Linked DNA regions of Rhinolophus ferrumequinum. The main gene of each other region encodes a partner of the protein of the gene in region 2 in a complex. Links are inferred from orthologs where the notes say so. Each region holds a gene or a part of one and is shown on either strand. Other genes may lie near its edges. The genes, in order: ARL3 and CFAP36.

Evidence for each region.
Region 1: the proteins of CFAP36 (region 2) and ARL3 are in contact, whole or in part, in a crystal structure (PDB 4ZI3), measured with the Mus musculus proteins. The link is inferred for Rhinolophus ferrumequinum from reciprocal best matches to the Homo sapiens genes CFAP36 and ARL3. Residues at the interface, in NP_080016.1 of Mus musculus: Glu44, Glu45, Ser46, Lys47, Leu48, Thr51, Glu52, Lys58, Val61, Glu62, Leu65, Glu76, Phe79, Gln80, Cys83, Thr84, Ala88, Lys89, Leu97, Val100, Leu101, Ala103, Glu104, Asp105, Phe106, Thr107, Ile108; in NP_062692.1 of Mus musculus: Leu3, Leu4, Ile6, Leu7, Arg8, Lys9, Leu10, Lys11, Ser12, Arg19, Lys35, Glu40, Pro47, Thr48, Gln49, Gly50, Phe51, Asn52, Ile53, Lys54, Trp66, Ile74, Tyr77, Ser80, Tyr81.

What each region holds. Positions count from the first base shown.
Region 1 is NC_046299.1:22,364,874-22,380,829, forward strand, and holds the start of ARL3 (ADP-ribosylation factor-like protein 3), read left to right. Parts: upstream 1-7,386; 5' UTR 7,387-7,435; coding exon 7,436-7,438; intron 7,439-13,556; coding exon 13,557-13,700; intron 13,701-15,956. Other genes in the region: SFXN2 (sideroflexin-2), read right to left, coding at 35-133, 1,093-1,263, 1,446-1,606. UniProt on the Homo sapiens protein: Small GTP-binding protein which cycles between an inactive GDP-bound and an active GTP-bound form, and the rate of cycling is regulated by guanine nucleotide exchange factors (GEF) and GTPase-activating proteins (GAP).
Region 2 is NC_046296.1:32,224,322-32,240,822, forward strand, and holds the start of CFAP36 (cilia- and flagella-associated protein 36), read right to left. Parts: upstream 5,988-16,501; 5' UTR 5,763-5,987; coding exon 5,648-5,762; intron 4,810-5,647; exon of another isoform or gene 4,778-4,809; coding exon of another isoform or gene 4,756-4,777; intron 3,919-4,755; coding exon 3,854-3,918; intron 3,240-3,853; coding exon 3,138-3,239; intron 1-3,137. UniProt on the Homo sapiens protein: May act as an effector for ARL3.

The DNA.
Region 1 (15,956 bases), on a different chromosome or scaffold from region 2:
CCCACGTGGACAGCATGGGGTTCAGGTCTCCTACCTGCCGGACGTGGGGGAAGCCGCATTCCTGTTGGTGTAGTTGACTAAAGCATTGAAGGACTGGTTCACCCACTGCCAGAAGACGACCGCCGGCATCGTCCTACCGGTAAGGGAGACACAGGGAGGAGGAGGATGGAAGGGAGGGCTTGGTGTACACCCGTCAAAACACGTTACCTGCTGTACCCTAAATTGTTCCCATGCTATTTTATGCACCTGGGCCTTTGCATAGACTCGCCCCTCTGCCAGGAACACACACACACACACACACACACACACACACACACACACACACACACACTGTTCCATACATGGCTAAATCCTGCTGTTGAGAGATGGGGTCCTCCTTGGACGCTTCCTGACCCTTCCCCTGCCCTTCGTAAGACATAGTCATTCCGCATTCCCTGCTCCCACAACCCCGTATTCTCTCCTCAGTTTATGATTTAGCAAGCTGGGCTGTAACTGTTTACTTCTTGATCTCCTCAACAAAACTGGGAACTCCTTGAGAGGAGGGACTAAAGTCTCTATATTCCCACGGCCTGGCTCGATAACTGGACAAATGAATACATGGGGGAGGGAGGAAGGAAGAGGGAAGAGAGGAAGGGGAAGGAGTCACACATCCAGCAGCTACAAACAAAGTGTATTCTCTCCCAACTGGGCTAAAGGGTCTTCCTAATTTTTTACTGGGATATTACATGATAAAAGTACGTTAAACTCATTGGTGAATAAGAGGGAACTAGGATTGCTTATGCGTTGACAGTTCTAGAGAGAACTGCCTCAGTTACAATCCAGGTACCCATATTTCCCAGCGGTGTGAACTTGGACAAATTATATAACCTCTCTAGAGCCTGTTCTTTATCTATGAAATGGAGATGATAATAGTACCCCATTTGTAGGATTGTTGACAAGATTAAACGAGGTAATACATGCAAAGAATTTAGCACAGTGTCTGGTATCTGGTAAGGGATCAATCAAGATGGCTATTATTACCATTGTAATACGGCTCCCTGCCTAGCACATCCAGGCAGCTATACCTCCCACTGCCTTGCTCTCTGGTCCCACCTGTAGAACTGGAGCATGAAGCCCGTGATGATCATGCCACCAGGGACCTGAAAGGACATCCGTCCGATGACATTCATCTTCTCCCCGGTGTCAGGGTGGAAAGCCGAGTCATACAGCTTCTTGGCATACAGCAGTTGTTCCACTTGGGTGCCTGGGGGCACCATCCCCTTCCTGCCACCCGAGGACAACAGGCAGAGTTACCTCCCTGTCCCCCCACCCCAAGTCATCCTGCTCTCATTTCTCCCCCCTTCCCGAGATCTCTGCCTATTCCCTCACCTTCACTTTCCACCTCCTCCCTAGGGGACCCATGAGTGTTGCCCCAACGCTTCCAGCCCCTTCCCCTAGTCGTTTACCTGCTCTTCTCCACCATCACCTTGGCCCAGTCCAGCTCCCGCTCTGGTACCAGGATAGTGCGGGGGTCCGTAATATTAAAGAAGTGCTTCACCCGCCCCAGGAAAGTGCACTGGTCCCAACGGGGGGCATCGATGTTAAAGCCAGACAGGTCAGCCTCCATCTCGCTTACGCACAGAACCGCACACTTCAGGAACACAGGAAAAATTAGTCCTCCAAATCAAAGCCTGCTCTGAACACCTCCCACTGAGTAGACCTCCCGCTTTCACCAGTCACTGGCATCACTTAACAGTTTGGGAAGGGTCACCAGACCGAGGAATCGGGTACCAGCATGTGCTTCCTATGTGCCTACTGGTGGCCAGCCCTGTGCTTGATCATGCTGTGGGGGAGATGGAAAAGGGACAACACAGCGCCTGTCCTTGGGAGGTGAGTCTGACGAGGAAAAAGAGCCCACCAGTGGAAGAGTACACAATACGTGCCCCCACAGTAATACAGGGGATGAGTGGAAGCAGAGATGGGGGTGGGGAAACACGGTAATCAAAGGGGACTTCCCAGAAGAGGTGGAATGTGAGCGAGGCCCCAGGAGATAGAATACATTTATCTGAAGGAGGTAGAAGGCATGGGATCACATTAAAGGTGGAAACCACCACAAATAAAGGTGGAAATGAACACGGCACAATGACGTTCAGCATTTGAGTGTCTGTGTGTGTGGTGCCTCCGGCGCTGTGACAGATCCCGGGCCGTGGCTGTGAGTGAGGCACTGCATCCACCCTAAAGGAACTTCAGAATAGGTGGTAAACAGACGAGTAAATCAACCTGGACAGCAGTGTGAACAATGCTGCTGATGGACCAGTCAGAGAAGAGGCATCTACAACAGAGATGACCGCATCTCCCAGTTTGCTGGGCCTGTTGGCCTGGGGTGAGTATTAATAGCACCCCCTTTCACTCTCAAAAGTGTCCCAATTCGGATGATAAATTACATGGTCACCTTATCTAAAATCGATGAGGGATTCTGCACGTGCTTCGTGAGTACAAGACATAAACATGTTTTGAAAGATGTGTAGAAGTCAGAGAGTTGGAACAGCAGCATTCCGGGCAAAAAGAAGAGCCACTGCTGAAAGCACACAGTGCGTGTGGGGATGGTAACAGTTCACACTTGCTGAGTACCTACTCTATGCGAGTCATTTTGCTTAGTGCTTTGACTACACTTTCTGAAATCATCTTCACCATAACCCTGTAAGAGATAATCTTTAATTTAACCCCATTTCATGAATGAGAAAACAGGCACAGAGAGGTAACTTTACCAAGTCACACAAGCATTAGCCACTGACAGAGGCAGGAGTTTAATTCAGCCTGATTTACTTCAGAACTCACATCTATAACTGGGTTCTGGAATCCGTGACTTGAAAAACTAAGGCAGGTCTGACACGTATGCAGCTTGAACATTGTCACTCCTGTCCCTGCAATAAGCTGAACAAACTAAAACTCAACAACTCATCTTAGACCCATCAGTGACCTGAGGTCAGGGTGAGAGTGAGTGATTTTTCATGCGGTGAGTTTCAAGTGCCGCGGGACTTTCTTCAATGCAATAGGCTGCCACCTGTCTCAGGTCGTTCGCAAATGCCATTGCCCGCCCAGAATGCTACTCTTTCCCCACTTCACTAAATAACACCCACTCATCCTTTTTTGTTTTTTAAGAAATAATTTTCAGATTTAACTTACATTTTCTACTACTAGGTCATTTGTCTTTTTTCTTGAAAATATTACCTTAACTGAGAATTTTCTATTACGTAGACAATGACAAGTTCGCAGGCACAGCTTGAGCACCACGGAGCCCATGGGAAAGCTCTGGGCTCTGCATTCCAGGGACAGGCTGGCTTGGCCTCCTGCAGGCTGGTTCAAAGACCAAAGGCATTTCACCCAGTCTTAACTGATCCAGGAGTGGGAAAGGGGAAAGCATTCACTTTCCCTGACTCCAAATGTACCTAAAAGGAGTCGGCCCGATCACATACTGCCTTGGCTTACAGAGCCCCACACTTGCGGTCCCGGGAGACAACCCAGCAGAGCAAAATGCTATGTCTCCCCCCTCAATACACAGGCACACACGCATGCACGCACGCGCGCGCGCACACACACACACTCACTTCTCAGACATCTCTCTTCACTCTTGACCCAACATTGGAAAGCCCTGCCTTTCACAAGGGAAGCTCTTCTACCATGAAGGGGTAATCATTTGCTAAATTATGCAAGAACCTTTGCCTTCATTACTAAGGTCAGAATAGGAACTGCCTAATCCCTGTCTTATGTAAAAGGCAAAAAAAAAAAAAAAAATGTATGTCTGGTACATCTCCCCCCACACCACTGCCTGGCAATGGGCACAATTCCATGGCTCCTTCCATGCAAATTCAGCCCTTCTGTTCCACATGTCCACAGCATCCTGTCCTCCTTGGAAGCAGGTTGGGCTTTTGTAATTGTCACTTCCTTGTTATTTCCAGTTACTTGTGTAAAGTATGCCTTACCTGACAGGCTGTAAGGTTCATGCTGTATCTTCCATCTGCCCTCTAAAGACACTTACTGCCTAACTGAAATGCATTCCAATTTATCCTTGTGTTCAAATGGCATCAAGGATGTCACCTCTTTTAAATCAAACTCAGAACCTGCCTTGGTCACAGAAGTAAGAGCAGGCCTTCTTTCACAAAGCTGCAAATTATCTCCTTCTCCTATACCGCATCCTATCTGGTCTCTACATTTTCTTCCAATTTCTCTCCTTCTTCCCACATGAACCACATCTAGTACTCCCTAAAAAAGTCACTATCATGTCCAGGGTGGCCCCACTAATGAAAGAATATGGTTCCACGACTGAGAACAAGGGGGGAGGTAGAGATCAAACAGTGATTGACTGATAACTCCCTTTTCTTCTAAGATTAGAGAATGTCGCAGCTCAATGACATTAGGGATCAAAGATCTCAGTTCATAGAAGAGGAAACTAATGCCTAGATTCACATTGACTGAGCCAGCATGGTGAGCATCGGTGGCACACACAGATCCAGTCCTGTTTATCCATCCAAAGATGTGACAATAGCTAGGGTCTCACTTTCCCAAGGTCACAAGGCTTAGGGTCATCGAGATAGGTCCGCTATCTACTACAGGTTATACTTGTCAAGAGAGAAAGAGAGAGAAAGAGAGGAGGAGGAGGAGGAGGAGGAGAAGTCAGAAGAGGAGGAAGAGAAAGGGAAGGAGAAGAGGAAGGGAAAAAAATAAAATAACCTACTACATCTCCCGAAGTAATGCTCATCCCTTCAGAGAGACCTGATTTTCTCTGGCAAAGTATCAGAGCCAGAGAACAGATTTCCAAATCCCCTCTGGAGTAACCTCTTGCAAGGGAGGGGAAGTACCCAAAATGTCCCTGTTTGTATCCCCAAGTAGGGAAAAAAACGAAACATTATTGCTGGTACTCACATCTGAGGAAGATCAAAGCCATCAAAGACTCAGGTCAGACACAAAGACCACTGGATGGGGAAGGTTAATGTCAAGGCTGCTTAGGGCAAGTTGGAGATTGAGACTAATAATTAAACAAGCAGGTCTAGGTATATGCTTACGTACACTCATGTGACCCCAAGGCAACAACTTAGAAAGGGAAGTCTGCCTTGCCTTTTTCACAAAAGAACCAACAGGCTAGAGATGGGTAGATTGTTGGAGTGATGCTCTGAATGAACCATTCATCTTGCATCTCCTTAGTCAAGGTTCTTAACTGAGTTCTCTCTCCAAGGATCTAAAGCAGGCACACAGGTAGCAGATGTTTAAAAAAAATACTTTAGTTGAATGCATAAATAGCTAAGGACCATTCAGAGAAAAATATGCGTTCATTCCAATTATCTTAAGTAGACTGGAAAATCTGCTGATAGGAAGAGGGGCAAAGCCAAAAAACCTAGATGAAACTATTAATGCAGTCATGTGTCGACTGATGACAGGGATATGTTCTGAGAGATGCATCATTGGGCAATGTCATCATTGTGCGAATGTCATAGACAGCACTTACACATATACAAACCTAGAGGGTACAGCCTGCCACACACCTAGGCTATACGGCACCGCCTATGCTCCTAGGCGACATGTAACATCCTATACAGCATGTTACTATACAAAACAACATGAGGTTACACTAAGTCCAAGAAAATATGATGCAATCATGGTAAACACACGATGTATGATGAGGCTACTGCTGGTGTAACTTCGTATACTGTTTTACAGCAAACTTTTTTTGTAAGTAGAAAGAGTATACTCTAAAATAACAATAAAAAGCATTGCATAGCAAATACAGAAACCAGTAACATAGTGGTTTATTATTATCAAGTATTACGTACCGTGCATAACTGTATGTGCTATACTTTTATAGGACTGGCAGCACAGTGGGTTTGTTTACCCCGGGGTCACCACAATATGTGAGTAATGAGTTGTGCTATGACATTAGGACAGCTACATCACTAGGCGATAGGAATTTTTTAGCGTCATTATAATCTCATGGACCACCAACATATATGCAGTCCATCGTTGACCCAACACTACGTTATGGCTGTTAACAGCTAAACCCTATATAGCACTTCCTATGTGCCAGGTATTGTTCTATGAACTTGACATAATAATTCATATAATCCTCACAAGAACCCAGTGAGATAGGTAAGACTCATACACACATGTGCAAAGTTCCAGGTGTACCATCTACACCCACATTGTATCAGCTCTTAAAAAAGTTTTGGGTTTCCATTGCAAATACAGACCACTCTGTTCCTCTTACCTGAACGTTACAATAGTGTTTAAAAGCACTTCCTCAAGAATCAACAGAACTGGGTTCAAGTCCCCACTCTATATTACTTAAAACAACCAATTTCCAGGGTTGTGAGAATGAAATGGAATCTTGTGGGAAAAGCATTTCACTAGAAAGGATGTAGTTTCCACGAAGCTAGATTTTCTCAGCTCTTGTGTTTCCAGAGTCTAGAATACGACCTGGCTCCTAAGCCATAACTCTTCCTGTACTCTGCATGGGGAAGCAGTGGGAGGTAACACCTCCCAACTCACCCCGGATCCCTCTCGCTCTTACTTGCCTGGAAGTGTAGGCCTATTTTTTGCCTCCTTCAGGACCGCAGAAGGCGAACCTCTCGGTCAAACGTAACTTAGCAAAACCTGGCCATTCCAAAATGCCATTCACCCGCGCCGTCAGCTCACTAAGAACTCAAGGCCAGTCCCCCGGCAGCTTCTTGCGCTACCACAGGCAGCCTCCCACCACTGGGACTCCTCCATCCCGCACTAACACAGGTGTGTGGAGATGAGTGCGCAGCCCTTAACGCACCATCCCTACGAAAGACAGACGAAGGCGCTGGGGCCTAAGGGAGAGGTCCATGGGCAGTCCCAGGCCACTCCTCTCGCCACGTGGCTTCGGCAAGAGTAAGCCCAGCCCGCGCTGCAGCCCCGCCAGGGCAGTCAGGATAGAAACACAAGCTCCGTCCCAGGACGTAAGGACTGGAGGTAGATGTGGCTGGCGACCTCCCAAGACAACTTACCTCGTCCCGGGAGAAATGAACTGAGACAAATGCCACCAGATGAAGCCCGCGTTGGAAGCCTGGCCTGGGCACCGCGGAACTCCGCCCAGGAACCGCCCCCACACCCTCCTGACCAATCACAGGCCTGGTAGCCTCCACAGGCCACGTGGGCGAATTGTCACCATTCCCGGGTCTCTACAAGCCCGCAGCCACCTCCTGCTTCTCAAGCAGCCCGCCTGCGCAATGGGCGGGCACTTTGGTGCGCTTGCGCACTTAAGGGAAAGCGGAGCTGGACCCCGCCCCGTCCTGCTGCTTTGATCCTCCGCTGTGCGTGCGAGAGACGTTGGGGGCGGTGCCGCAGTAGTTGCCCCTGGTAACGGGGGAGGCAAGAGGAGGAGGAGGAGGAGGAGGAGGAGGAGGAGAAGAAGGAGGAGGAGGTGGGACTCGGCGGGAGGATGGTGAGTGTAGGGGCCTGGGCCCCTCCGGAGCCGATCGGTCACCCCCCTCCCGTCCCCAGGCCCAGGGCGGGGCACTGCGCTTAAAGCCAAGGAGGGAATGGGACGGCGCTCAGCCTGCTGTCTGGGTCCAGGATTGGTTTCGGGGGACGGCAGGGAGCCCGGAAGGTGTGGGCCCTGGAGGGAGACCTGGGCCTGGGGAGGCAGGTGGGCTTGCAACGGATCCCTAGACAGGGGAAAGGGCTGGAAGGGTGCGTGGCTGTCCCCATTCGGAGTCGGGGCTCCATCATTACTCGGGGAGCTGGGATGAGGGCGGATCTGAGGGGCTGCGAAGATCAGCTTCCGCACGCAAGCTTATATCTGCCAAGGGAATCCGCCTCCCTACGCCGCAGGAAAGTGGGGTCCGCCAGGGGCGGGCCAGAAGCGGGAAGCAAGGCCAGCGCTACTGCGTTTGCGGTCGCCCTGGCGGTACCACGGGAGATGGTAGCCTAGCGCTCCTCTTCCTCGTTGTGCGGGTCTCTGGAGGGAGGGTTGTAAATCCCAGGACACATAAAACATGCGCCTCTTGGAAGAGATGCCTGGTAGATTTTACGCCGCCTCGGTGTCTGCGTGGCGGGTGTGCTTCTGCAGTCCGGAATTATTTATTTGCTAAGGGTTCTGCAAGGTCTGGGGGATGGTGATGACCAATCTTCCGTTCAATTATCCATGTTGATGGAAGCAAATTTGCTGCCCGATCCCTAGTATTTCCTTCAGAACCTGTTGCAGCCCTCTTTTGCCTATGACTACACCAGAACCAATCTAAGCTTAAGGTCTCCAAACTAAAAAGGAATTGGGAAATTGAAACTGGAGAGTGGCCATCAATTTGAGGCAAGCCTTTTCCCTGTCAGACCTAATGAAAGCTTTCCCAAACTCTAAATTATGATGTGTGGCAGGTTTGTTCTTTGTTGATTTCTGTGAAGTTAGTTGGAGGGTGTTAAAATGGAATTGAGTATTACTGGAATCTATCAGTAAACTTTTATAGTTGCCGCTAAAAAATCGGAATTGAGGAGTTTTAGAGCAAGCGAAGAAAAATTGATTTTGAGGCATTTAGAGCAGGTTTGTTGGCTTACCAACTGTAAAGAGCAAGCACTCAAGATTAGTTACTTCCCTACCCTAACCCCAGTTCCTTTTTGACTTTTAGAAATGCTGAACCACTTCTAATGATTTACGAAGTAAGAAAAAGCTAGATGTCCACAAGGAAAAACTATGTGTACCTTTGGTCAGATTATCCAATGAGTAAATTTCGATAGGACAAAAAAAAAAAACCTCAATTGATTTTACATTGTCAGATTGTTAAAGAAGTAGAATTATTTGATCGGAAGTTGCCAATCACATTCACATTTCACTCTTACTACATTGCAGTTTTATTAACCTCAGGCTAAACAAGTTTTTACATGTTTTCTTTTTATTAATCGTGTATACATGAGCTGTCCATTTAAAGGCTGTTTTTCTCCACAAAAATGAGTATAAATATAAATATTTACTCAGAAAATAACTACAATTGAAATGAAAAAGACATGCCAAACCAACAGAATTAGATGTCATCATAAATGAGAAATGCATGAGAGTAACCTAACTTTTCCCAGTTTGTTTATCAATTAAGTGGACTGTACGAGTATAATTTCATGATTGTTTAATTTATAATTACAGACCACAATAATTTAAATACTGCTTATGTTTCCAGGTGCAAATTGACACTGTATACAACAAATTGACAATGTACACAACACTGTTGTATACAACTGTTATGTTAAGTGATCAAGACAGATTTTGTTTTTCTTTTTTCCTAAAATGAACAATAAGAAATTAGGACAAATTATTCTGGATTCTTTATCTGGTTTCCAAAATACATTTTTTTTTTCTATCTTCAAAAGTGTGAGCTATTCTTAGAACAGAAAGTAGAACATGGAATTTAAATAGCCAGTGGTATGATTAAGTGTGTTACATCTGGTATCCCATAAGCCCCCCTGAGAACTGTACAACTGAAGAGTAAGTCCCAGGTTTTTGTGGGGGGGGTTTTGTGTGTTTTTTTAAGCCCTCAGCTGTGACATAATTTTTCTTTTTTTTTTAGTTCGTAATACTGCAACAAAACCCATTGGTTTCTCTGAATATTTAGCATCAGCAGTTTTACCCCTGCCTTATAATACCAAGTCGTTGGTGAAATACTAAGATGACAATAATTTCAGTACATAACTAATCATTGTTATTTAATATATCACGCCTTCATTCACGAATTACTTATGGAGTACTTTCTACATATAAACCTAGCGGTAGTTATCAAGCATGTTCAACATTTGAATATTGTTCTCAAGGTGATGCTTTCTGATCAGAAAATGTTCAGTGAAAAGTAAAAAAACAAAAAACACACAACTACTGTCTTGAGTGCCTACTATGTGTCCTGCTTTACACATTTAATTTTCATAGCGTTTTTCTTAAGATATAAGTATTGTTTCCATTTTTCTATATCTAACTGTGCCTGGTGTTATGCATATAGAGAAGTCCACTGCAAGTCTATGAAACTTTAAAGCCTGCAATGTTTTTTTCATTAGGACTCTAGTGAAGTGGAACCCATGCTTTCTGAAGAGATGCCCATATTTTGTTCCTCAGGAAACATTGTATTTATTTAGTATAGAGATGAGGAGAAAGAAGACAAAGTTTGGGTGATGTTCCCTTTATCAAAACTAGAGGAGTTCCTGAAAATAACATCTCACTGGGCAGCACCAATTTTTTGTTAGTTTAAAGAGGTATAAGTAAATTGAAGTCGGTTCCATTTAAACTAGTTATAGAGAGTGCATATACTTGACAGTTGGTTTACTAATTTTGATGTTTAAATTTTAGCTGCTTCTCACAGCCACATGTAGTTTTCCCATATGCCAACACATCCCTCTTTTCCCCTGTACCACACCAGTTTCTTTGAATGACCTAGTTTGTATCATTTTAAGTCAGTGCGCCATACTTCTGCCAGTAGTTGAATTTAAGCTGATTTTGAAGCAGATAAAATGTCTATAGTAAATAGCACATCTATTCACGATTTGCATGTAGAAAAGTTTGTTTAAATGTTTTGTAGCTGAGCCAGATCACTTCTGTCCACCAGGGTACAGATAACTTGTATACACACATGCTGATGACACACAATCTACAGTTAACTGAAGTTCTTGTTTCTTAAATTGACTTTTAATGCCATAAGGAGTACAGATCATACATAGAGGTCATGTCTGTTTTGCTCACTGTTATATTTGGGGCACATTATGTTATTTAATGATGAATGGATGGATGGATATTGTGACCAAAAATATACTTTAAAAATCCATTCCCTTGTATTTATGCTGCAAAACTTAGCTCCATAATAAAATTAACTTCTAATTTCTCCCTCCTTTCATTTGACATTTAAAATGTAGGATGGATGGATATATATATATATATATATATGTGCATATATATATGTATATGTATATATATGTGTGTGTGTATATATATATATATATATATATGAATAGAAGCATAGAATAGACTTATTTTGCTGTCTTTCTCCAGCCTCTTAAATCAGCTTACTTTGTACCTTTTAGGCTGAACCCTAATGTCTATAAATATCCTCTTCCCTATTTAGCAAACCCTGATAATCCTGTGATCCTCTGTCTTCAGTAGTTGGGTTAATATGATGCTGTATTGTATTTGCATTTGTCTTGCCTAGACCATGCTTGAGACGCCATTCATCATTTTTTTGGAAGAAAATATTAGCTGAACTTTCCATTTCTCTGTAATTTCACTTACAGGTGAAGCAGGTGATGTCATTGTTTCCCAACAAGGAAAATTACTCATTAGAAATGTCGAAGTATTGATTTTTATACCATTCGGTTAATAAAGTTTAGCTATAGTTAAAATGGTTTCTTTCTTATCTGTGCTTTGCTTCTCTCCTTTTAAAATGAATAAAAATTACATTTTTAATTTTTTAATTTCAAATATAGTGAGTATGTAAAAAAGTCTCAGTTTGCAGAATGCAGTATTTTTATTTACTGATTTTTCAAAAGAAGAGACATATGAGGAAAAACCTAAAACATTCATTTGAACCTTGAAAATATGTTATAGAAAACAGACCTTCCTTCACAATTTCTATGCTAATAGATAATGCATGAGAAAAACTGTACCTTTACTGTCATTTAATATACTAATATGATAAATTCTAGTTGTTTGAGAGTTTTATTAGAAAGGTAATGAGGACATCTAATCAGGAACTCAGGAGTAGGACAATGTGTTTTCCGTGTTCTTAGCCTTTTTTTATCACCTGTCCCCTGAGGATCGCAGAATTCTAATTTTAACTGTTCTGAAAGGTGGTATTATAAATGAGTGATTGCAATGTAGCTAACAGAAGCCAGGGAGACTTCTCATAAATATAGTTTTAAAAAGGAACGGTGTCGAAGTATTCAAGGCCAGATAAGATGAAAACGAAAGAAATGTGCCTTTAAAAAGACCTGCCTGTCTTCATCCTTTTTGTTTGTTTCAGATCTATTCAGCCTGTCTTCCCCAAATCTTTTGGTATAGAATTTGTCTTTCTGTCTTAAACCAAATGTTCCCTTTTATTGCTGGAAAAATGTGAGGCATATAGAAGTTAATGTCCTTAACAAGTCAGTACAAATCCAGTACTAGGAGTGGTAATCAAAGAGTCTCTAAGGAGAAAGGAGTTCTTAATAATTAAGCATATTTGCATATCATTGTCCAAAGACTCAGTTGTTGAGAATTGTTTCACAGAATTATTATTTGATTTTAGTGAACAGACTGGTGTGAATTATTACCTGGTGCGATGCAGATAAAAAAAATACGATTTTATATAGCTCTAAGACTCAGTTTGAAGGAATTTCTGCTTGGGCTAGGAGATTTGATTATATGTCCTTTAAACTCTGGGACTCTGAGTCTTGTAATCATGCCTCATTGGAACAAGAGTGTCAGCTGCAGGACTGAACAAGTCTTACAAGACTTTTCCACTTCCTAGGTAAAAAGCAACATGGTTTACTTCCATCCATAAAAAACAGCAATTGTAAAACCAAGAAACAGAACTATTAGGTTACTAGTCAAAAATACCGTGATTAACTTTTGATGTTTTTTGCTTCATGAGTAACTTTTACAATTCCCTAACTTCTCTTGTTGTATCAGATTCTTCATCTGAAAAACAGATAATCCATACTGTACACTGTTCTGTTAGGGTCTTTGTGAGAGTTAGATGATGGTATTTTGAATGATGAAGTCTTAAACATGAACTGAAATAAAGTCTTAAACAGAGAGCCCAGATACAATTTTATACTTTTGTATTTATTTGTATAATACCTTTAAATCTTGCATTAACTTAGGTGGATAATTCTATTTAATTCAACAACAATTATAAACCGTGTTTCCCTGAAAATAAGACCTAGCCGGACCATTAGCTCTAATGCGTCTTTTGGAGCAAAAATTAATATAAGACCCGATCTTATTTTAATATATAAGACCGGGTATAATATAATATAATATCGAGTCTTAGATAATATAATACCCGGTCTTATATAATATAATATATAATACCAGGTCTTATGTTACTTTTTGCTCCAAAAGACACATTAGAGCTGATGGTCCAGCTAGGTCTTATTTTCGGGGAAACACGGTAATATCAATCTAGTAAGTGCCAGGCATGTGAGAATCAGAAAATGTAATTCTTACCCACAAGAAACTTCACTCTAGTAAAGGAAAAAAATACAAAAGTCAGTTACCTATAGTGTGATATGATGAGTGCTATACGCGGAGTTTGTATAAAGGGCTTTAGGAACCCAAGTTGGGTAGTAGTTTATACTTCCAGGAGATTTGGGGTGACTGCTAAGCTGGATTGATAGGAGGAATAAGCCATGCTATTTATTAAGTTGCTGAATTTACTAACCTACTTCTACCAAAACTCAGAAGGGGGAAGTAAATGGAATAAATGATATTAAAGTGGAAATAATAATAACTAAGCTCTCCACAACCAAGAACTTTTTTCAAAGAGAAGAAGATGTTCTGATGTTCAGTAATATCAAAGTCAGTACCCCAAAGTAATCTCTCTTCTTCATGGTTGTTCAAGGGCTTACTCTCAATTTTGCGCAAATTGAAAAGTGCACCAGACCAGGAGGTGAGACTCCTTCTCCTGGGCTTGGATAATGCTGGTAAGACTACTCTTCTGAAGCAACTTGCATCTGAAGACATCAGCCACATCACACCTACACAGGTGAGGACTGTCTTGGTCCCTAATGCTTGTGGGACACATGGAAGATGATAATAGCAAAAGACAAAATGGGAAATACAGTTTTATCCACTTCCAAGGTGTGTTACTGAGAAAAGTCTATACAGTTTAAAAATAACCTAAGATTTCAAAAATATATGAAGAGATTCCATTCATGAGATATTTAGTCAAATTCATAGAAAGTAGAATAATGGTTACCAAGGGCTGGGGAGAGGGGGGAATGGGGATTTATTGTTTAAAGGGCACAAAGAGTCAGTGTTACAAGATGAAAAAGTTCTAGAGGTAAATGGAGGTGATGGTTGCACAACAGTGCAAATGTACTTAATGCCACCGAAATGTACATTTAAAAATGGTTAAAATGGTAAATTTAATTTTATGTATATTTTATATTTTTTTAAATAATTCAGATATATATATGTCAAGACACAATTCCCTCCAATCTAAGTGATTACTTTTTTAAAATAGCTTTATCTTCTCTAGTTATGAAATAAATACATGTAGGGGGTGGCCAGTTAGCTCAGTTGGTTAGAGCGTGGTGCTAATAACACTAAGGTTGCCAGTTCAATTCCCACATGGGCCACTGTGAGCTATGCCCTCCTTAAAAAAAAAAAAAATTAATATGTGTAGAAAATACAGAGAAGGTATAAAGGAGAAAACCAAAGAGTACTATGAGAAAAGCCACTGTTAATATTTTAGTGTGTGTTTTTCAGACTTAATAAATACAAATATATATCAATTTTTTAAATAAAAATAAATGTAAAAATTATCTATATTTTTTTTTTAGATTTTTAAAATTTTTTTTTAAATTTTTTTTTTTATTGGGGAAAGGGAACAGGACTTTATTGGGGAACAGTGTGTACTTCCAGGACTTTTTTTCCAAGTTAAGTTGTCCTTTCAATCTTAGTTGTGGAGGGTGTCGTTCAGCTTCAACTTGTTGTCCTTTCAGTCTTAGTTTTGGAGGGCTCAGCTCCAAGGTCCAGTTGCCGTTTTCTAGTTGCAGGGGGCACAGCCCACCATCTCTTGTGGGAGTCGAACTGGCAACCTTGTGGTTTAAAGGATGCACTCCAACCAACTGAGCCATCCGGGAGCTCAGCGGCAGCTCAGCTCAAGATGCCTGTTCAATCTTAGTTGCAGGGGGCGCTGCCCACCATCCCTTGTGGGACTCGAGGTGTTGAACCGGCAACCTTGTGCTTGAGAGCCCACTGGCCCATGTGGGAATCGAACCGGCAGCCTTCGGAGTTAGGAGCATGGAGCTCTAACCGCTTGAGCCACCGGGGCGGCCCTACCTATATTTTTTTTGTTTAATCCAACCTCATCAACCCTCCTCTTTTCTAAGGCTAAGCAAGCAAAACATAAAAGATAAGGCAATGGTGGTGCTCACCATGTAGAAGTTGAAAGACAAGTCCAGGTGGGAAGAATTCTAGTCAGCTTCTTTAGACCTCCTTTCCTGTAGGAAATCCTGAGAAAGTTTGACCTCTGACCAAGCCTTTGGGTTTCCTAATTAGGGACAGCCCTGTTGGTCTTAGTCACTTTAACGTGTCTGAGCATTAGTAGTTTCAGCAAAACCAGGGTTATTTGGCATTTTCTGTCACCATACCATGGCAAGAGCTTGGTGTCAGGTTTGAATGGCTGTGCTAGTACATACATATATACATCACGACCTAGGAGTCTTACTGATTGAAAACTCTGCAAAAAAGTCTTTTCAGCTGCAATGAAATGAGCAATTCTACAGCTTCTTAACAAATTGAATGTATAGCCTAGTGAGGAGCAAATTACAGTAGCCTAGCCTAGGAGGGCTGGAAACACATATTAGTGTGTCAGAATTTCTGCCAGAAAAAAGAAGAGCTAGTTGGTTTTTGGGGGGGTTTTTTGGGGAGAGTGGGGGATGAATGATAGGCTGTGTCTGTCAAGATCACCAGTAAAATAGAACTTCTACACTGTGAGCATGGAAATGAACTCAAAGTTATGGGCCCAAAGTTCCAGTTCTAACTTTCAGGCTTTGTTTGGTGTGTTATAGATGACTCCTATTATGTTACGTCAAGTTTTCATAATCTTTAAAAATAAACTTTTATTGTGTTTTTGTTTTATATTAGAAAAAGTAATCGATGCTCATTATAGATTTAGAAAGTATAAATAAGTAAAATTGAGAAACTAGAAATCACCTATAATGTCCATTCAGACATAACCACTATTAACATTTAGGAGTATATTCAATTTTTTTCTATGCGTATATATGATGAG
Region 2 (16,501 bases):
CTGTGTGTATTTTTAGAAAATGAAAGTATACCACATATGTAATCTTTACAGTGGTCCAAACTATTGGCGAAAAAAGCATCATAATTTTCCCAAATTACTATTATTACAAATGTTTCAGAAAATGTTAATGTCTACCTTATAAAAGTCAAAGCAAATCAAGTAAAAAACAAAAACAAGAGGAAAAATATTGTCTCTTGCTATATATTAATATAAGTCCCTGGCTTTTGCAATACATAGAAATCAGTGATGAGCTCTCTCATCAAAAAATCACAAGCAATGGAGAAAGTCACTTTTGCCTGTTTCAACTGGAAAATACCACAGAATTACAAAATTCATCTGACGACAATTAAAACAATAAATATCTCAGTCTTTGTCTTATTTTTCTTAACTGTTTAGAAAGATATCCTAAGTCATGAGCATTTTTAAAGAATCCACACATACCTAATAGAAAGACATGCTCTTAAAAAGTCTGTTTTTTTCTTTTTTTCACACTAGTGTCCTTCATCTAATTATGGTCATGAGACCTCTTACTACTATAGCTGACTTTAATAGACAAAGATTATCCAGGACCAGTGGTCTAGATCTAATGATGCCCAAACCAAGGGTAAAGAATTTTTCAAGTTGGCTTTAGCAATGCGAATTCAATGAGAGCTGGCGGCTGGTTTAAAAATCAAAATCAAACAATGCAAACGAAAACAAAATAAAAATTACCTCTTAAGTTACCCAGGGCAAACAACTGGTTTTTTTGACTTTGTTCTTAGGCACACCATATTGGCATAATGGAAATTAGCATTCTGATCGTTATGTAGAAAGGTGGTTGCTGCAAAGCAATACATAATGTGCTTTGAGCTGTTTTTCTGGTAATAATTACAGCCTTGGGCTAATTCAATCATGTTGCTATTCAGCATCTGGTGCTAAAGAGTTTGCTCCAGAAGAGAATAAATCTAACTAGTCCACATGGGGATTGAACCTATGACCTTGGCCTGATTAGCACAGTGCTAATCAACCACCAAAATAGCTAATTAAGAGGTGCTTCCATTTATAGACCACCTTATATATGTCAGGTATTGTACTAAATGCTTTATGAACCTTATCTCTTAAATCTCACAAAAACCTTTCTAAGTTGATACTATACCCCTGTCTATGGATGTGGAAACTGAGAATAAGAATGGATAAGAAAGGAAAACTGACAAACAACTTTTGTCGGGAGTCTTACAGCTAGTAAATGACAGATCTAGGACTCAAATCCAGGTCTGTCTGTGTTGAAAGAATTGCCTCCTTGTACTTATCAACTCCAAATAAACCAAAGGTGTTGCAGAATAAAACAAAAGACAAAGATGTGTTAGTCTTGATCTGAAAACAGTATTTTAAAATTCTGGACAGCTTCACTCACAAATAATGTAGTTATTCTGGTAATGAAAGCAAAAGATGGATGTATCTGCTATAACTGAGAACATCTTTATTCACAAAGTAATTCAGGCTCATTCACAATGGCTTAATTAAAAGGTTGACAAATATTAACCAAAGCAAAAAATATTCCTGAAAAACAAGGAAAATAAAAATAAATACCAAAGTCTTAAAAGAAATTTAAATACTAGTTAATAATTTTCAATCATATTCTTCCAATTCCACTAAAAAGAAAATAATGCCTATCATTCCTCCTTAAACTAAACCTTTGGTACATTTAGAACAAAAGCTATTGGTAAACTGTAAAACAACTTTTGGTTTATAGAGTTAACTAATAAAATCATGTTTGTTTACATTAGTGTGGGCATACCAATAACTTTTAATATTTTTTAAATGTCGTTACAATAAAGAGTTGCTATCTTTAGAATTACAGGTGGTCATTCAATGAGCAGTTGTACAAAAGAGAAATGTAGCAGGAAGTGCTGGATTAAACAGAAGTCAAAGCAACCTCTTCTAAGCCACAATAAAAAGATAATTTAACAAACATTTATTAAGAACTACCTACTAGAAACTAAGTTCTCCTCTCTATGCTAGATGCTGAGAATGCAAAGAATGAAAATAGCTCAAAGGATTTACAATCTAGTAAGGCAAACAGACTTGTAAGAAACTGTAATTTAAGGCAAAGCACCAAAGATGTAAAAGTGCCCAGTCCGACTAGCGCTAGTAAGACTGGGGAGATCAGGAAAGCTGACTTAAGAAGTAACATGTCAGGCAGGCCCGATGATGGGAAGGATTTTTCTGGGTAAAGGAAGGATGGTGGAGTGGGGAGGTGGGGGCTAAACATTCCAGAGTAAAGCAATAGCATGAACAAAGCCAAGTGCATAGATGCTTACAAGAATGAATAGCCTGGAATGACTGTAATACATAATGTATTGGAGAACTATAGCAGGAGAAGGCTGAAAATAAAATTTGAGGTCACATCACTGACAATTCTCACTATCATCTCATTAAGAAATTATAGTTTATTTGGTAGAAGCTGGAAAGTTCAAGCCACTCTTTGAGAAGGCTCTTTGGGTAGTGGTAACGTATCCCTAGCCTCAATCTCTGAGGAAGGCCTCTCAGTTGGAGTGCCTGGTCTGGTAACCCGGTTCCACCACCTACTTAGCTGTGGACTTTGCACTAGATGCTTAATGTATTTGTGCTTTACTTTTCTCATTTCTAAATGGAAGTAAAATAGTACCAACTTGTTAAGGAGTGTCAAGAAAGTTAAATGAGATAATACACATCGAGTGCCTAAACCAGCAGCTAGCATAAGCCCTCAGTAAATCTAAGTTATAAATACACGATACCTACTTCAGCCCAGCACTGCAGAATTAGTAAGACAATAAAAGGAGTTCCAAGAGAACGAAGCCCCAGGAACCATGTACTGTGAATCTGCTAAGATTAAACAAGGGGCAACTGCAAAACTATCAGAGATCTATATAAGTAAAACAGTAATCTATTATAGTTCTGAGTTCAGAAAGTTCCTTTTTAATTGCATCAGTTCATTAACGACTCCAGTTATCATTACTAAAGGTAGCTATAAAACAGAACCCATATGTGATGAATTAGCTTTTCACTCTTACAATGTCTACAATATTATACTCTGACAATCAAACACAGCAAATTTAAGTGAAATTCTGGGCATTTTTGTCAAAACTATGTTAGCAGAATAATACAAAAGCAAAAACCTGTGATGTACGGGTCTTTGCAAGAGGAGAAATGCATGCTTCTTGAAATTGATCTTCATTAATTCCAATTTCTTTGAAGTAACTTTCTAACAATTTCTCAACCTAAAAAGAGAAAGTTTAACCTTAATAATTTATATAGAAAAGTTCCAAATGACAGTTTTCATGTTAAGTATTGAGTTTAGAAAAGTATAAGGAAATGCTTGTTTGCAATTATTAATCCACATAAAATTATATAGCAGTGACAATGTCTTTGATGGAAAAAAACAACAAAGGTTAAAATTTTTGCAGAGTCAAATGCAATTTTATTTCCTCTATTAGAAATAACTCCTAGAGGATTATGTCAGGATTATGAAGTTGAATGAGGTACAACTCTTCTGCTACCCATAATCACTTTTAAATCACAAGATAACCATAACTAAGTTAATAATTAACACTTCCCTGAATGCACAAGTAGAAGAATAAAATTTAAAGATTAGATGCAAGATCCCTTAACATGGTTGTCCTAAATCCATTCCTTAGATTCTAGAGTAGAAGACATACGAAGTCATAAGGATGAAAACCCTTGGAGTCTGATGGAACTGGTAGATTGAACTATTAGGGTAGACTGAACTTTTTAAAAGAACTTTAATGGACAAATCCATTTTTGTTTAATCTAGAAAAGCTAAAATTAGTATTATTCTAATTAACTTTAAATATTAGTAAAAAAGTATACTCACTAGTTTTCTGTATTCCTGATGAATTTCTGTATAGGTCAATTTGCTTTCTTCTTCATCATCAAAAACTAAATTTAAAAAATATATATTGCATAATGTAAAAAAAAATCATTAATGCAAATATAAATGTCCACTCCTTATATCTTACAAATAGATAATTGGATATATACTCACAAGTCAACATATTTTTATGTGTGTACACACACATACATACTGTATATAGTGTTAATTCTAAACAAGTTATTTTTCCTACTTAAGATCTTCATATATAAGACAAACATTACATTTCATTCAATAATATAAGACAACAGTTTCTTTATAAACTTTTAATGGAACATTATTGTTAATAGTTTTTAAACATTAATTCCTTTTACAACAGGCTCCAGATTATTTTATTGTACTGGACCTTCGCTGATGCAAATTTTACCAAAAGTGAGTAGGCCATTTTTATTTCATATAAATCAATAATGAAGTTAAAATAAATAAAACCAAAATAAATGTTTACTGAATGATAAGTATGAAACAATGTGGATTAGAAAGATATATATTCCCTCAAGAAGCTACAATCTAATTAGGGAAACAGGACAAATTCATGAATTGTAAATAATAGTCTTTTTTTAATCCCCCTTGGATCATCTTTTAAAAATGCAAAACTAACTTCTGTAATTTTTGATTTAAAACTCTTCAATGACTGCTCTTTGCCTAGAGAATAAGTACAAGATCCTTAGAAGCCAGACAAAACCCTCCAAGATTGGACCCCAAGTCTCATATCCCACCACTCTAAAACCCAAACTTTGCACTCTTAACAATACAGAATTACTTGAAATACCACCAAACATAATACATATGGTGTTTCAAATCCCCATGTCTTTGCTCAGGCCAGTCCTTGATCTTTTTGCCTTTACCTGGACCCCTTTCTCCAACCATTCTTCAAGACATTGTAAGTGGCACATTCTTCATGACCTGTTACCCACTCCCAACTCCTAGGCTGGTTAGATGCCTTCCTCTGAACTTTTATAATACAGCACCATGTGACTACCTTTATTATAACACCTGCCACTTTACATTTAAATTACACTTACCTACCTGTCTTCCCCACTAAACGATAAACTTCTCAAGCACAAAGATTTTGTTTTATTCATTTTTCTATCCCCAGCTTCTGGCCCAAGGACACTCAATAAATGTTTGTTGAAATACATGCTGACATCACAAAGTTATACAAAACTCATCTTTAAATTATCTGAAGTGGACAACACACTGACAACCCAAAGTCAGTGATGTATGTAAACACTGTTAATTTCAGTGTTACTGGGATGTTACTTAGATTTCCTCTGGCATCTGCTCTATACAACACTAGGAACACATGCAAAACAGACGCTGTTTTCAGCTAAGTCTGAAACCAAATTGGTCAACTCTTGGGATCAGAAGGAACTCAGAGGTAAACTGACGCCTCTCCTCCTAAGTCACAAGGAAAATTGTTGAAGAAGCCCACCTAAACTGCACTTGTCCAGAGGAGAAACGTGCAGGATGGGGTGTGAGACCCAACACAGGATTAAAATCTAATGTTTTTCGGATGTGTGCTTGGGCCCAGTGGTAGGGGAGTCTCGGTCCCCGTTTTCAGTTCCATGAAGGAGAAACAGGCGCAGTGACAGCAATCTCTCCTACAAACCAGCTCTAAACCTGCCCGACAGAGGTGGAAATCCAGGAGATAAAGATGGTTTGTGCGGACCACCTCCCTGACGACTGCTGATATAAGAGAAGCAAGAAGAGATTGTCGGTTCGGTCTCTGGTTTTTACCTTCACATTTCTGCTCCACAAAGTCCAAGATGGGGATGGTCCAGTCCGGGCTTCGCAGGAACCCCGCGATGCTCTCCACGACCCATTCTGCGTCGTCCTCTTTTTCCGCAGCCATCCCGCCCCCGCGGACCGCGGCAGAACCTTAGGCCAGACCCCCGGAGCCTGCTAAGGCCTTTCCGCCGCAGGGAGCCTAGAGGGAATGGGCGAAAGGAAGAGTTGCCCCCGCAGTCGCCCCGCCACCTGGAGGAAAGCTATAAACCAGTTAACGTATAATGGTCGCTATGGCAACACGCGCAGCCGCCCAGAAGTGATGCCAAGTTCCCCGAAGCCTGCGCATTTTAGACAGGGGCATTCGAAAAACGTTTCCGATTGGCTGGGAAAGAACAGTGGATCAAAAGATAACCTTCCGCCCATTGGCTTGCCGTTGCTAAGGCTAAGCGTAGAAGCGTAGCCATTGGCTGAAGGTCCTAGCAGGGCTTTCCGCGTTCCCTCTTCGAAGTGCTTGGTAGCCCAAGCCTAGAAATGGCGTGGTGAAGTTCGCGTTGTGACCCGCGCTCCGACTAAAAGGGCTTTAAAGGCTTCGAACCCAGCTAAGTGCCAACCATTTTCAACCCTGCTGGCCCAGAAGTGTTTGTAATTAAGAGTTGTTTGAAAATACAAAGTTGAGCAAAGTAGCTCTGTTAAAACTTGCTAATTGGCTCTGCAGTCTTTGCATCTTGTAGCTCCAGGTGGGTAGTTAGCCTTTCTGCATAAATGGAAATAAACTAGAATTAGGAGCTTTTCAAGGGCAAAATCAAAATGATTATTCATTTAAGTAAATGTTTTACTTGAGCAAATCTTAGGTCAAATAACACCAGGGTCCATGGTCAAGATGCTTGGCGTCCCAGACTATCTTCAAACAACCTTATATACTGACATAAATAGTGTCGTATGTACAGTTACGGAACTTTTTTCACTTTTAATATAGTCATAGTTTCATATAAAACTCCTTTGTTTATAGTACATAGTATTCAATATAATTTATTCCATTTTTATTTTGTTTGTGTATACACAAAATATCATACGTGGATGCATAAATATGATCAGTAGTGTGCAGGTTTTTTTCCCTTTTTTCCCCCTCCCTTGATGTGGGTGTATTCATTTTTCCCCTTCTACAAATTACTGAAAAACACATTTTTGTGTCTATAAAAGCTGTTGGTTTTATTAACTATTCCAAGGCGTAGATTCTGGCAGAATGGCTAAATGAAAGAATTGACCAATTCTCAATTGCTAGATTTAATGACTGCAGTTTTTAAACTCATTACCAATTATATAATGAACATATTTGCACATATAGTTTTGGATATCAGTCTCATTTCCTTTGAATAAATTTCCAAAGGGAGAATTAACCTATTTTTTAAATTCTTTTTGAAAAACATCTTTGCCATCTTTGCCAGGTTAAAAATGATGCATAACTTTAATTTGCATTTTTAAATTTGAAGTTGAGCACTTTCATGTTGATTAGTCTTTGTGTTTCTTCCTGTGTTAACTTTTCATATACTTTGACCGTTTCTTATTCTTCTTTTCTTCTTAATGATTTGTAAGAGTTTTTTACACATTATAAGAATTTTAACCCTTTGTTGCATGTTGCAATGTCATGTTTATTATTTGTCTTTTAATTTAGTTCACTATGGCTTTTGCCACATAGAAGTTTCATATTTTCCATATAGACTTTAAATGGGAGGTAATAAGTATTTTTTTTTTTATTGTGTAGCCGTGCCTCAAACACCTTTTGCTGAAAATGGGTGTGGTAAAGTGTTATGGTTTTTGAAGAGGTAAAAAGAAAGAAGGACATCATCATTCTTAGGCTAAAATAATGTGATACCAGAGTTGGATTACTCTGGTTTATTGTTCTGTTTACTAAGTCAGCATAAAATGGAAATCCCACTTTTGTTCTGAGAATTTCCTCTTTTCGTAAAGCAGTTGCTTGTATGGTTTATAATGAGGCGAGAGGCCACAAAGTGCTATTCAACTGTATTCAGCGTTACTTGGCATTAGAGTCTTTATGTTCAGTGTTTTCCAAGTGTTTTCCAATTCCACTAGACACAAGATAACTGGGATACACACACTCTCTTTTCACTTATTTTCTCAGCGTTGTTCGTGAATGTGAGCAGTGTGGATTCGCTGTAAGTTCTGTCATGTATTTCAAAACATTTTATTATTTCAAATTTCTCCTCAAAACTTAAGGCTTTGCTTTTTACTCAGTACTTGGGATTCTTATAATCAGGATGCTTATGCAGGTTTAATATGCATACTCAATATACTTATCATGAAATAAACACAAACTCAGAAGAATAGTGCACAAGCTCTTGGGTCAATGTATATGGGTATATTGGAGTAAGAGTAAGAAGATGAGGTGGGTGTGTGTTGTATAGTTTACCATAGGTCACTTCTTTCAGTCAGGAAGTGTTTTTCATGTTTCCCAGTAGTGCAAACATAGTCATCTCTTAAAAAATCACAACTTCTCATTTTGGCAATTTTATTGCTTCTTATCTACTACATGTGAACAAATTTTCATATTGAGCATATGTATTGTAAAAGAAGAAACTGAAATAGACCCCCAACACACACACATACACACACACACACACACACACACACACACACACAGATATATACAGTACTTTTACCATCTGGTTGATAAGAGTTCTATTTAGAGAACACATATAAAAGGTACTTGGGACCGTGGTTGGTAGTAAATGCTCAATACATATTAACTATTTCTATTGTATGTAATCTAGGTGTTTTGTTTTCTTTTTTAACAACTTGCAGCGTGGGTATAAGAAACCATTCTCTATTTTGCCTTTCTCCTTTTACTGGCAAGACATTTATGTTCCTTACTGCATAACTACTGAAAATGCTTTCCCCCATCCTCTGTATGGGAACTGAGCCTTACTAAAAGTTTAAAATGTTCAATCTTAATAAGATGGCTGCATTCCTCCAGGTTTTTGAGGGACCATGTAAATAACAACTACTCACATTTGTGTAGTGCTTTATAGTTTACAAAGGGATTTATATCTGGTTGACTCAGTGCAACCTTAAGAGTTAAGTAAAGATGGCATTAAAATTTTCCCCATCCTATAGATGGTGCATTAGTTTGCTAGGCCCTATAACAAAGTACCATAGACTGGGTGGCTTAAACAACAGAATTTTATTTTCTCACAGTTCTGGAGACTGTGAGAAGTCTGAGATCAAGGTGTCTGCATGTTTGGTTTCTTCCAAGGCCACCTTGGCTTCTAGATGCCACCTATGTGCTGTGTCCACATGATCTTCCTTCTGTATCCAAATTTTCTCTTGTAAAGACATCAGTTGAAGATCAGAATATGATACCCCCAAATATGCCATTTTGGCATATTGAGTGTTTTGAGCTGAAGGCAACTGAGAAACAAGCAGCCACAGGAAGAGCTCTCTGCTCTCCCCCATCTGCATCAAAGCAGAGCATAAATTTCCTGTGAGAAAGATACTGTCCCTATACCAGAAAGAGGAGAGGAGAGGAGGGCACTCTTATTACTAGAGATGAGGAGTCAATGCTGAGATGAGTCTGTATGAACAGATCTTACTAAAATAATCCTTATCTTCCGTTAGAAGTATCTTAACCCTCCCCATATATTTCCTAGTCATTCACACAATTTATCAGCCCTAGGAGCCCAAATCCCCATTCCTTTGTCTAGTCACTTCTCCACAATTTATCACCCTTTGTTAAAATGATATGTAAGCCCCCAACTGTTTGCTCTTTGACTTTTTCACTTCATTTTTGTGAAGCCCCCACACACATAAAAATTTTAATACTAACAAAATTGTATGCCTTCTCTCCTATTAATCTGTCCTTTGTCAGTTTAATTCACAGGACCCAGGAACTAAGCTTAAGAGCGTAGAGAAAAGTGTTTTTCCTTCCTTACAATAGTCATATTGGATTAGGGCCCACTCTAAAGACTTCATTTTAGCTTAATTACCCTTTTAAAGGCCTTATCTCCAAATATAGTCAAACTCTTAGGTACTAGAGGTTAGGACTACAACATACGAATTTGGGGGGACACATCAGCCCATAACAGATGGGAAAACTGAGACTATAAGGTCAAGTTTTTCCCCCAGGATCCAAGCAAACTTAGGGCTTGTACTTCCCTTTACTTGATACTTAATCAACAAGGTAACTTCCCATTTGCACTTTACAATCCATCACAGACGTTTTTCCATGTCACTAAAAACATTTCTACATGATCCTTTTTAATGCTACCTAGTGTCTTAGCTCAGGCTGCTATGACAGAGTACCATTTACTAGATATCTTATAAACAAATTTATTTTTCACAGTTCTGAAGATTGGGAAATCCAAGATCAAAGAGTCAGCAGATTCAGTGTTTGGTGAGAGCCCTCTTTCTGGTTGAAAGACAGCCATCTTCTCTCTGTGTCCTCACAGGTCAAAGGGGTAAAGGAATCTCCAGGGTCTCTTTTATAAGGGCACTAATCCCATTTTATGAGGGCTCCACCCACATGACCTAATTCCTACCAAAGTCTCCACTTCCTAAGACCATCACATTGTGGGTTAGGATTTCAACATAGGAATTTTGGGGGCGTGCAAATAATTCAGTCTATAGTACCTACTTTTCCATTGTGTGAGCATAACACAATTTATTTAAATAAGGCTGTATTGATCTAGGCTGTTTCTTGTACTGTTTAAAAAAGAATTCTGTAGTAACCATCCTTGTAACTAAATCTTTGCACCTGGTCTTTACCATTCCTGAAAGTGGAATTACTAAATAACACAGTATGCAGTTGTTAGACAATTGTACCTATAATCTTTTTTTTAAGAGAAAGCATTGTGCATTCTGCAGTAATCATGGTGAAATGCTAAATAATTCTTATCCTTTTTATTATTGTTTTACATCCATGAGTCTATATATCCATACCCACGGACAGATAAATCTCAGATAATTTGGAGATTGTTGATTTAATCATAGGAGGAATAGAGAAATGATTGTGAGTTCCCCAGGAAGCAGACTTTTTAATTTCACAGATGTATTTCCAATCCCAACACAATGTTTGACGTTAAGAGTCCCGTAATGAATATTTGATGAATATGTGAATGATGATTTCAGTATATAGTGCCTCATATTTGCCTAAAAAGAATCCATTTCTCTTTTCTGCCCCTGGGAGAGAGAGTAGAGGTGTGACTACTGGTAGAGCAGATATTTTTTTTAACTTGAAAAAAACATGCTTGCATTCTCGATTAGATGGCTCAAAGTTATTATTAGCAACAGGCATAAAAATACCAATTCAATAGAAGTGTCATTATCATTTGTAATTTATACAACATATGAAACATCGCTGATGAACGACCTAATTGCTACTCCAAATGGTATGAATTTAGCTTTCAAGTAAAGAGAGAAAAAAGGTCATTCCTTTAATCCTATAAATTGCTTTTATTCTGGCTATAGCAAGACTTTTTAGAAGTTCTAAATTATAGGTTCCTTGCAAATATTCTTACTTGATCATTTGGTTTATATAACAGCAAAGGGATTGAGGAGGTTTCTGTGGGCTGGCAAATAAATAATTACCTGCCATATCTTCAAATTCTCCAATGAATTTTTAGATTTTTATTTCATTTGCAGATGTAGCATCACATTTCCATTTTCTTTTGAATGTCTGTTGTTTTTTATTCCTCATAATCTATAAAATATTCAGCAGCTTGATTTAAAATAGCAGCAAATAAATAACAAAAATACAATGACTTTTCAATTTGTGGCTAAACACGTTCATTTGATGTAAAATAGCACAGCTTAAAAACCTTTCTTTATTCGTTGAGTGCTTCCTATATATATCAAGCGCTATGCTAGACAGACACTGAAATAAAGAACTCTGGACATGGTATTCGCAATTCCGACTGTATGATTGTTTGCTTACTTTCACTTGATCTCTAAATGTTCAGGGCCTTTTTTGTGAACTATTTCTTTTTATTTCACCTCCCTTTCTTTATTCATTATGTCTGTTTTCATTGTTTTGTTTATGTATGTGTAGATAATTCTCCTGTTTTACTTTCTTCTCTTCCTGTCTACCTTTTATTACCTACTAAGATGATTCTTGCATTTGTCTTCCATTAGGTTTTCTCACCTGTTTTCCTGTGTGTTCTTTTTTTCCTTTTAACTACTGTATTGGTGACTTTGGGAAGGATAACTAATTTATAGAATATGTTTATACGTGACTTAGATCTGCTTTTAGTTCTCTTAAAAGCATCTGTAACCTACATTAATGGCTTAATTTTTTTGACCAAATACTTTAAATTTTATGACCAAATACTTAATCAGTAAAAAATTATTTACTATTCCCCTTAATATGTGAATATATATTTACTAATGAACTACATGCATGTACATATATATATATATGAATATAAACAGTTGTATAATACACATTTTTTTAAACTTGAAAAAAAATTGAAATTAACAAAGGGTAATATAAAAATATATAGGTTGAAAATCTAATTCTTTTTCCCTGAGTGCCCGTGAATATCTCGTGTACCCACTGTGGAGGCCACTAGTTTGGGCTCAATAAATTTGGTAGTTTGGGCTTCTGGCATAGTAAGGAAGTCAGTGAGGGTCCTATTTGCTCTAGTCCTTTTTAGAATGTTCTGGGAGAAATGTAAAGAAAATTTCAAGATTCTTATTTGGAGCCCAGGACATTGAGATCAAGACTCTCTAACAAAAAAAGATGAGAAAAGCTTCTTCCCCCTTCAGAAGAGATGGAAGCATCCTGATTGGGAACCATCCTGATGTGGGAGGCAGTAGGAAATTGGGCTAATAATGGAACGTTTTTTAAGGAAGGCAGGAAAACACTCTTTTATTTATTCATTTTTAAAATTTATCTTTATTGCTTTCTCTGTTGGAAAGCTAATATATGTACATCGAGGAAAACTCAAACATCATAGAACTACACAACAAAGTAAAAGTCTTCTTTTTTCCTACCACCTAAAAAAAACTGCAAATGGTGTGGTTATTTACCTTCAGATTTTTTTAATGCACATATTAGCATATATTATCTTTAACCAAAATGAGGCCATTCCTATTTCTACAACTTGTTTTTACCTCATTTTCAAAGGATATCTTTCAATATTAATACAAAAAAATTGTTTTTTTAGATTGATGCATGGTATTTCATTATACAGATATTCCTTTAGTTAATGAATGTATTATTTATGCTCATTTCCAATATTTTGCCCTTTTAAACACTGCTACAATAAATATCAGTGTACATGTATTTTTGCATTCTTGCCTGAGTAGTTTCCTAAAACAGAAGTGGAATTCTGAGTTTAAGGATATGAAACATTTTTAGAACAATAAAATTTTCCATCAATGTTACCAAGTTGCTCTCCAAAAGACAGTATTAATTCTCACCAAAAGATTATATGTTCATTTTTCCACACCTTTTCAGCACTAAAAGCATTTTAGTGCTTTTTTTTTCAACTGAAGGGTAAAAAATATTTAGTCATTGTAGTTTGCCTATGTTTAATTGTTAATGAGATTGAGGATTCTTTCATATACTAATTGACCATTTATAATTTTGAGAGCAATGATTTTTTTTCTATTTTTAATCTTTTATTGTACACATTTAAAAACATACACAAAAGAAGCACTGTGCTTCAACAATTTGTCAACATTTTTGCGAAACCCAGACATCATGTCATTTTATATAGGAGTGCTTTTAAGTAAGATTGGAGGATGTCATTTAGTGCCCTTTGACCCTGTCACTCGCCTCTAATTCCTTGGCTAGTCAGCAGAAGTGTAAACTAAAGGAGCAAACAACAGCCAACCCTAGGCATCTTGCCACCGTGAAAACGTAGTTGATGATTCAGGCCACCAGGTGGCAGATCACAGGAAAAAAGAAAAAGGAAAAGAAATCGATACCTACCAGGACCAAACTTCCCATGGCCCAGAGGTCTTAAGGAACTTGGTTTCTTATTAGTATAGGGGACAGTGGGGGAGGGAGGATCAGTCAAAGGCATTCTTTTAAACCATAGTAATATATTTAATTATCTAATAGTAATGTAGTTTATCTGATTATTTTATTATCAGATTAAATATCTTTTATATTTTTTGTTTTTTCCTATGAATTTTACTATTCTTAAGGTCTCCAAAAATAATGTTTTAATTAGAATTGCATCAAAGCTATAAGTTAATTTGAGAAACATCAAGATCCTTATATTTCAAAAAAAAAGATCCTTATATTTCTTTTTCCCATGAAAGAACATGATGTTTTCCCCATTTATTTAAGTCTCTATTTAGATCTCTCAGTAAGAATTGCAGTTTTCGTTATAAAGAATCATACATGTCACTCATTAAAAATTTAGCTTGGGAATGGGTTTATTTTACGTATATTCAAACTGGATTTTGATGATTTTGCTGAAATATATTGATCTTTGCAGAGTAAATGTTTAATCTCTCCATCCAATTAAACCAGCAATAATTTGGTTTAATTATTGGACATGAACATTTTGCCATATATAGTGATAGATATCAAAACGGTCATGGGTAAAATATGATCAAGAAGAGTTTCCAAAGAAAATTGTAATGAAAACATATAAGAATAGAATTGGCATCTAAGTATGGGAATTGCAGCTATATCATTGAACTGCTTTTCAAAGATGAGGCCATTTTACTGAATCCATTACTGTAATTACACTTTAAACTTGCTAAAAGTACGCACTTCAGTATATACCAGTTTTACATGTAGTGTGCACGTCAGCTCCATTATTATTAAAATTTCAAGATTTAGTGGTTGTATTATTGTAACAATACTGCATGTGTTGCTTCTTGTATTTCTTTATGAGCAATTTGAATGTATGCTTGAAAAGTTTTATGGTTTCAAATGACCTAATAGGATCAAGGAATAATTTCAGTGAATTATTGTTTGATTAACAAATTGATAAGCACTATTTTTAGAAAGGTGGGAACAACCACTCATTTGAAGCTAATTTTCATCATTTATTAAAATCATTCAAGTTATAATCTTCAGTAGTTGAGAATAATGGTAGCTGCCTAAATATGAAAGCCAAAAGCTAATTTTAAATGAAATTATATGTGACTGGAATCCAGCTATTGAAAACATTGAAATATTGGACTGACTGGATACTTAAAAAAACTCAATTTTCTATAAAGATGCTGAGTCTGGTGATGGAGGCCATCCTAATAGAGGTGAAAGAGATGACTCAGAATGCTTCAGGAAGGAGCAGAAATGAGATGCTACACTTCATTCAGGTCAGTAACTGAGATTAGTCTAGCATCCTGATAAAATACAGCCTTATTACCTTGATCCCCACCAACTCACAGTTTATGATACAAAATTTAAGTTTGCATTGTTTCTTAGGAAAACATTTTGCTAACAAAATAATATGAACTCAGGAAATAACATAAAACCTGAGACAATCCTTTTTATTTTTCTGTGATCATATCATTTTAAAAATTAATGTAATATAAGATCATTTTTTATTATGGCTATAGATGTTAGCTATTTTTACCTGTTTATTCTTTCAGATAAATTTCAAAATTATTTTCTCAAGTTCTTCTAACGTATTTTTATTGGGATTTTGCCTGATTGCTTTAAGTAAATTAATTGATGAGAGAATGACATTAAAATATTAGTCTTATAAAATATGGTACCGCTTTTCTTGTACTTACTATCTTTCAGGAAAATCTTCTAGTTTTCTTCATATTGGCAAGATAGTTTCATTAATGTCATTAACATACATTCATGTCTGCTGCTATTTTAAGTTAGGCTTCCTTTTTAGTTATATATTTCAAACTGAGCATTATTGGTACATTTGAATGTTGTTTCAGTTTTATATATTTACTGAATTTCCAAGCATCTTGCTAAACTCTTGTTTCCAAGCATCTTGCTAAACTCTTTAAAGTATTTTATATTCCTCTCCCCAAACTGGAAGTTTCTTTTGTTGTCTATTTTCATAATCAAAAGTAATACCTACTCATTTCATTCATGTTACGTTCATTCAAGTTTGAGACTCACTGGTGTTGAGAGCACTGGGCTATCACATGTAGACAGAGGGCTCTTGCCAGCAGAGTTAGGATAATTTAGGCTAATCACGCTCCAGAATATCTGCAAATCAATTTAGAAATAACAACTTTTGCTTAAACTCAGGGGTGCACAGGGAAGATTTTGTGAGAGGAAAAGTCACTTTAAGAGTGTTGAAAATTTTTTGCTGTTAACTCCTGCAGCTTTTGAAGAGGTCATTGTTATGTTGGTGTGTTGGTAATAAAATAGACATGTAATATTAATTGAATGAATGAAGGACTGAATGACTGAATATATATATATATATACATATATATATATATATGTATATATATATATATTCAAGGCATACACATATATATATGCCCTGAATGTATAGTGATGAGTAAAAACAGACCTCAAGCCGAGACAGACACTAAATAAAAACTTGCCCGGATAAATGCATCATTTGGTCCTGAAGTGGAGAATTTGAGGAGCCTAGAAATAGTGGCAGCCTCAGGAACCCTCTCCAATATGACATTAACCATCCACAGAAAAGTTACCCCTAATTAACACCATTCCCTTTGGAGTTTTCCATCCCAAACCCCTGAACTGTGAAACAAAGGCTGGAAGTAGCCTTTGAGAATCCTATTGGACATATTTGTCAAACAGGTGAAGAACTAGGTAGGACTGCAGCCAAACCACCTTTCTACCTTCGGTTAGGTGCCTAAACCTTCTATTGCCTGACCTATTTCCTTCCCCGCTTGCAAACTACTGAATATTCTCAATGAATTTTCAAGAACGTACTGGAGCCTGAG